Sus scrofa: one gene and its partner. The main gene of each other region encodes a partner of the protein of the gene in region 2 in a complex. Links are inferred from orthologs where the notes say so. Each region holds a gene or a part of one and is shown on either strand. Other genes may lie near its edges.

Region 1 (4,217 bases), on a different chromosome or scaffold from region 2:
GGGAACTTCGATATGCTGCAGATTTGGCCCTAAAAAGAAAAAGAAAGAAAGAGAAAGAAAGAAAGAAAGAAACCAAACATGTAAACTGAAAGCTTGTAGATGCAAAGCTACAGATCAGATTATTGTAAAGGAAGACTGAGGCCAAGCCCCTGCCCCTTATTTTAGGGATTTGTGCACAGGGCACGCAGGGGAGGGTGTACGCCAGGGAAGAGAATACTTAGTCCATGGGGCTATAACTTAACATATGAAGTTTTCATCTCATGAAACTGAGGTAAAGCAGAACTCAAAAAAACAAAACTGTGTGCTGGGGGTCAGGGGGGCGGGAGTGAACAGGACAGGAAATAGAGCCACCCACTACTGATCCCCAGCCCTAGCTCTGAGCATTCTGATCCCTGAGTAGTAGCCACAGGCCATCAGAAGAGACATCTGACATCTGCCACAGATCAGAGGAGATGGAAAGCCACTACACTCAAAGGCTCTAAGTCACCATCTCTCTTCCAAAGGGAAACCGGATATGCGGGACATGTGGGGTGAGAAGGGATTCGAAAGCCACCAGAAGGCAAAGGAAACCGAGAAAAATGTCGACAAATCTCATATGGACAAAGATGCCGTTCTCAGGGTATTTGCAGTCTCAAGTACTGGACGTCAATCATCAGAGAGAGCAGCTTTTATTCATGCGCAGACTTCCCTGCCAGACTAACACGCTCCACTTGACAAGATCCGACCGCAAGATGCAAGCTGCAGTTACAAAAACCAGGAAAAGGTTTTACTTCACATAAAGGCTGGCCTGGTCAAAGGGTGATGGACTGGAAGTAAAATAACTTGGATACCGATTTGGTCTCTACCTTGAACTATCTTAGAGACACTGCACAAGTCAAATCCTATCTCTGGAGCTGAGCTTCCAAATCTGTGAAATGGGTGAGTTGGGTTGGCTGACCTCCTTCAACTCTGCACCGTAAGACTGTCGGAAGGTGCGCTCCGCCCGGTTTGAAGGCAAGGCCGTACAGAGCAGGAACTCGGGCTCACAAGGCCGGAATAGGGCCCGACCCTAGCAAAAGGGACAGGACTGAGCAGCAAAGGCCGTGGCTTCGCTCTTACCTGCCTCCCCAATCAGTCAAATCGAATCCTGCAGCCTCCGCTGCAGCTCACTGCTACCCCCTCCAGCTCCGCGCCACAGCCCGGCCCGGCTCAACCCAACCAACCATGTCCAGCAGCCCACAGCTCCAGCCTGCAGACCCGGACCCGCCGCCTGCCCATTCTCTTCCACAGGCGCAAGCGCAAGCGCAGGAGTTCCGGAACTCCGCCCCCAAGCCCGTCCCGGGGCAACCTGGGAAATGGAGTTTACCCCTCCCCTCAAGAGTGAGTCTGGCGAGCACGTGACAGAAGTCACCAATTGGCGCGTTTCTTACTGCGGGAGTGCACACCTGATGTTGGCCAATGAGCAGTCGACCTCATTTTCCTTCGGACTTCGGACAGAGGCAGTCATGGCACCACCTGTGAGGTATTGCATCCCCGGTAAGTCGGCGGTTCCCAGAGGGAATCCTGGGCAGAGGCAAAGGCAGGAAGGCCGGACGACCAACAGCTTCTGCGGTCCTGTGGCTGATGCAGCGGTTTTTTGGGTTTTTTTTTTTTGCGCAGGCGAACGTCTGTGTAATTTGGAGGAGGGGAGCCCCGGCAGCGGCACCTACACCCGGCACGGCTACATCTTTTCGTCGCTTGCTGGCTGCCTGACGAAGAGCAGCGAGAACGGCGCGGTAAAGGGGCTGGTTTCCTCTCTCCTCGGTTTCTGCCTTTCTCATGCTGCTTTTGATGTCACGATCCTTAGGCAAGGGCCCTGCGGGCGCGATTCGGGATCCTCGTTCAGTAGAAGGAGTTGGTCTCAGAGTCCCCAGTGAGCCACAGAGTCTTTGTACACACGCCGTCTGTCTGGAACGCGCTACTCTCTTCCTTATCCTGTGTTTGTTTATTTTGACGGGGCCGCACCTGGGGCATGTGGAGATTCCTGGGCCAGGGATGGAATCCCCGCCACAGCAGTGACCCCAGCCACTGCAGTGACAAAGTGAGATCCTTAATCCACTCACCCACAAGAAAACTCCTCCCTTAGCCTATTTAATTCCTACCTAACTTTCAGATAGCCCCACTGGTACCACTTTCTCATATAAGCCCTCCTAAACACCACTAATAAAAAGAATTTTGGAAGTTCTCTTGTGGTTCAGTGGCTTAGGATGCTGCTGTGGCTTGGGTGGGTCTGATCTCTGGAATTAACTCATTCTGCAGGAACTCATCTGAAATGATTGGATTATGCCTTCGAGCAGCATTCTGTGGCCCCTTGGCTCTCCTATGTTCTAAAATTTCTTTTTTTAAGTCTTTTTTTATTAAAGTATAGTCAACTGTCAGTATTCGTCAATTTTTGCTGTGCTGCAGTGACCTAGTCATACATACATATACATTTTTTTTCTCATATTTTCTTCTATCATGTTCTATCACAAGTGATTGTGTATAGTTCCCTGTGCTATACAGCAGGACCTCATTGCTTATCCATTCTAAATGTAATAGTTTGCATCTACTAACCCCCAGCTACCAGTCCATCCCACTCCCTCCCTGTCCTAAAATTTCTAAGGCTTTCTGCTCTGGGCTACAAAAGAATCTAGTCCTCCTGTCCTTGTGTCAACTGTGGCCCGAGGCATATGCATATTACTGTCAAGCCACAAATACCTTTACTGAAGGCTTAGGCAGGATACTCATGTTTTATTGTTCTCGCTGTAGCTTCCTGTCATATCTGTGATGAGAGAAACGGATTCCCAATTATTGCCAGATGTGGGAGCTATTGTGACCTGTAAGGTAAGTTCATCCTAAACTCCCTGCTTAAGGTACCATCCAATGCTGAAATCATGATCATTGTAAAATAGCACTGTCCAGTATGGTAACCAGTAGCCATATGTGGCCGTTTAAATAAATTAAAATCTGTCATCACAGAAGGTTTTCCCGGCTTGTGCTAGTCTAGAGATTTCTAGGATAATGATCAATGCGGTCCAGTTCAAGCTTGCATGGTTCTTTTACAGAGCTGGTTCCCTGAGTATGTAGATTTACTTTTGACTGGGAAACAGAGGCACCAAAGGGTGATAAGGAAGCTTTTTTTTTTTTCATGTTCTTTTCTATTATGATTTAGCACAAAATATTAAATATAGTTTCCTGTGCTGTACAGTAGGACCTTCTTGTTTATTCCTTCTGTATATTATAGTTGGCATCTGCTAATCCCAAACTCCCAATCCCTCTCTCCCTCAGTGCCCCCTCACCCTTGGCAACCACAGATCTGTTCTTTATGTCTGTGAGTCTGTTTCTGTTTCATAAATAAGTTCATTTGTGTCATATTTTAGATATCGTAAATAAGTAATATCATGTATTTGTCTTTCTGTTTTTGACTTATTTAGTACGATCATCAAGATCCATCCACATTGCTGTAAATGGATTATTTCATTCTTTTTTGTGGCTGAGTAGTATTCCATTGTATATATGTATCACATCTTCTTTATCTAGTTATCTGTCAGTGGACATTTAGGTTGATTCCATGTCTTGGCTATTGTAAATAACGGCGTAATAAACATTGGGGTCCATGTATCTTTGCAAATTGTAGTTTTCCCAGGTATATGCCCAGGAGTGGGATTGCTGGATTGTGTGGCAATTCTTTTTTTAGTTTTTTGAGGAACCTCCATTCTGTTTTCCATAGTGGTTGCACCAACTTACTTTCCCACCAACAGTATAGGAGGGTTACCTTTTCTCCACACACCCTCCAACATTTGTTATTTGTAGACTTTTTAATGATGGAGGAGGCCTATATTTGAGCATCTGAAGCAAAACTTTTTCGGCAGAGAAACAAAAGATTTTATAAAGTCTTTGAGGGAAAGTACAAATTAATGCTGCACTTATCAGTAGCTATAATACATCAGTATTCCCTACCCATCCCCACTCTCTGCCAGTTAAATTAACTCATAGCTCTTTGTTTCTCTCTATAAATCACTCTAACAGAAATCTATTTTCAAAATCTGTCATGTTGAAAACTGCAGAGGCAGTGATCTAAATAGAATGCAGCAACTGAAACGGAGACTTAAATTCTGTTCACACTACAGGGCTCTTAGTAAGTTTGTTAAAAGTCTAGCTAGATTTGCTATATTTCCTTGTGTAGACTTGTATGTTTTTCTAAATCTGTACCGTATTAT
Region 2 (3,280 bases):
AAAACAGAGTTTACACAAAATGGAAATTAAAGTCTTCTGATTGGTATAACATTCATTTGTTTTTACTTACAAACCACACCTTCATTAGATAAGATAACCTTCAAGACTCAAAAAACTTAAAACTTTAAAGTTTAAAAAAAAACTGTACAGGTTGGATAAAAGCTGACTTTTTACTACCAAAAGCTGACAGGTGAACATCTCCATTTCACTCAAGGGAACTACAATGATGAAGGAATTACTTCTGAAAATTTAAAATGTACTTTACCATAGAAACCTCAATATATGAAACTTTTAGATCTTAATGCTTAATACATCAGTATAATCAAATAGGAAAAGCCTCTAGGTACTAGTCAACTTAGTTCAAAGTCTCCAAACAGACTTTTGGAATTTATACTGTGGATTCACCTCAAACACATGTTAGCTGATCAGACAGTAATAATCTGCTAGAAGAAATTTTAAAATGACTTATTTCTGTAAAAGGGGAGATTACATCAGCCTAAGAGGCATATCCTAGCCAGGTACTGAAGTCATCAAAATTGGTTGTTTAATTTTTTTACCTTTTTTTAGTGAATTCCATCTAGAATGGAATCTAGTAAAGACATCAGTATTTAAGGCTACTGTTTTTTGGGTTTTTTTTTTTAATTTTTCCCACAAAACCCACCAGAATTAATAAAAGGTCATAGCCTCTTTATTCCTCTTACCTTTCCTGGAGAAATGCATAAGTCCTCTTTCTGAATTATCTGTGAACTTGATTTAAAGACAAAGAGCATGGTAAATAAAAGTTCCAACGCTCTAAAATGAATGATAGATTTTATCAGGATGATCTTACTTTTCAATGACATCTGCAATGAACTGGCTGGCCACTTGGGCCTCTTCTCCCGGAGGGCCAGACCGAAATCTCCAGGAACACAGAGGTGATAGATCCACATTAGGAACTGAAAAAATACTGCAGCTATGAACCAGATTTCATCTCTGATTTAGTGATAAAGGTATTATCAATCCACTGCAAAAGCAACTAGCCATGGAAAGCACTGTAAAACATCACATATATCTTTTCATCTTTGTAATAAGAATCCTGGGCTTAGACAAAATTTGTATTTTCCAACTGTTTTCCACACAAGCAATATCAAAAAAAGTATATTTAGGGCCTTTTTCTAAAGGCCTTTCACTAAAGTTCTTATATGTCTTTCAAAATGCCCCAAAGTGTAACAGAAGATAGCCCCCCTCCCCAGTCATACCAAGTGTTACGCATTTTTAAAATGTTGGTTCTCATCATAATGAAAAGATGGTCCAAGAAAAAAAAAAAATCACATGGTGGTATGAATAAAACTTTATGGAAACAAAAGTTTGTAATTATAGCCTTTGCCTAAGATTTTATTTTCTTGGTTGATGACATCTATACAAAAACTGATCAAAAAAAGATACTTATAAAATTATCTTGCTATTATGCTATCTTCTAACATATACAAAAAACTTTTCAGGAATGTCTAAAGCTTATGAATACTCTTCAATTCACCTACTAAGATTTAACTATAACAACAGTATTAACTATGTTAAAATATTTGTATTAAAATTACAAAACCATTTAACTCACCAATATATCCTTTATCAGGAGCATCTGTTGGTGGCGCTCCAAATTCCTGTAGAAGTAAACAAATGTTTCCTATGAAAGAAGCTGCTAAAAAATTGAGAAGGCAGCAGTCAGTTACGGAAGGCTCTTCCGTCTTAGCTAGTTAACTACATCCTGAGCATCTCCTGTGCTCGGGAGGGCGTGACAAGGGCTCTAGGGCCACTGGCACCACTCCTTACAAGTTCTGCAAGGCCAGAAGGCAGTAGAGCACAGCTGACTGTCGTGCCACTCATCAAAATTACTTGGGGCTCGTTAATTGGATTTCTGCTCCACCCTCTCTTCCACTTATTCAGCAGCCAGGACTGAATTTAAACCTAGGGATACTGACACAGCCAGATTTAGAAACTGATGGGAGGAATCAAAAGCAAATGTCAGAATCACACTTTGTAGCTCAGAGACTTTGAGGAAGTTATTTAACCTCTTACCATTCAACTTCCTCATTGGTAAAGTGGGAAGTTAATAGGGCCTACTTTCAGAAGATGTTAATAAGGGTCAAATGAAATAATATTAAATCCCTGACATAAAACCTAAAAAAGAGTAAGTGCTCAAATCTTGTTACATATCACTGCAACCTTTACTGAAAAAGAACCTGAACTTAGATTAAGCAAATTACAAAGTTCAGGATAGTCAAAAAAGCAGAGACTTTGGAGTTAGTTATGTCTAAATTCAATTTATGAGCCTTATGTTCCTAGACAAGTTTTTTGAACCTCATGTAAGATAGGAGATGAAGAGAGAAATATTTCAAATAATTATTCTGAGGTTTAAACTGGCTAATTTTTTAAAGCACCTAATATAAGGTGCCCAGGATATAGCAAGTACTCAGTTAATGGTGGCTATTACTCCCTCAAGCTTTTCCTTTAAACAATTTTCTACATGTTTGCACAGATTAAATGCCATCCCTGCATAAAAAGATGTCACCCAAAATCCCTCTTAATTTCTCAAATTACAACCAAATTTTTAAAAAATTAAAAGTGGTGAGGGTTTTTAAAAAATTTCATTTCAGCACATTTGCAAATGTTCATAAATTATAATTGAGTCATTAAGCTTGCGAAATGAAAACAAATACTAAAAAACTGACATCTGATCACCTCATCACCAGAACTATAGGTGTATATTACAATCTAATAAGTGTATGAACTAATTTGGTAACTCAAATCTTTATAGTAATATACACAATAAACTTACTGCTTTAATTCCACAAATTACTGTAGTATTTCCCAGCTTCACTAAAGAAGAACCATCTGCAGTACCAATTGAACCTGAAAAGATAAGTATTTAAACAAAATGAAAAGCACTTTTTTTTTTTTTTTTTTTTTGGTCTTTTGTCCTTTAGGGCTGCACCCACAGCCTATGGAGGTTACCAGGCTAGGGATCCAATCGGAGCTGTAGCCGCTGGCCTACATCACAACCACAGCAACACCAGATCCAAGCTGCGTCTTCGACCTACACCGCAGCTCATGGCAATGCCGGATCCTTAACCCACTGAGCGAGGCCAGGGATTGAACCCAAAATCTCATGGTTCCTAGTTGGATTTGTTTCCGCTGCACCACGATGGGAACTCCTTTTCATTTTCTATGTATGGTTTTATCTTGCTACATATCTCATTTGTTTACAAAATTGTATTCCTTGAGTCTTTTTAAAATTATAGTT

What was found.
Region 1: EXOSC8 (region 2) and EXOSC1 share a complex: the UniProt entries of both Homo sapiens proteins name them as parts of the RNA exosome core complex. The link is inferred for Sus scrofa from reciprocal best matches to the Homo sapiens genes EXOSC8 and EXOSC1.

What each region holds. Positions count from the first base shown.
Region 1 is NC_010456.5:108,840,028-108,844,244, reverse strand, and holds the start of EXOSC1 (exosome complex component CSL4), read left to right. Parts: upstream 1-1,417; 5' UTR 1,418-1,427; coding exon 1,428-1,515; intron 1,516-1,638; coding exon 1,639-1,754; intron 1,755-2,766; coding exon 2,767-2,841; intron 2,842-4,217. UniProt on the Homo sapiens protein: Non-catalytic component of the RNA exosome complex which has 3'->5' exoribonuclease activity and participates in a multitude of cellular RNA processing and degradation events.
Region 2 is NC_010453.5:12,820,075-12,823,354, reverse strand, and holds part of EXOSC8 (exosome complex component RRP43), read right to left. Parts: intron 2,890-3,280; coding exon 2,816-2,889; intron 1,641-2,815; coding exon 1,595-1,640; intron 936-1,594; coding exon 830-935; intron 748-829; coding exon 702-747; intron 1-701. UniProt on the Homo sapiens protein: Non-catalytic component of the RNA exosome complex which has 3'->5' exoribonuclease activity and participates in a multitude of cellular RNA processing and degradation events.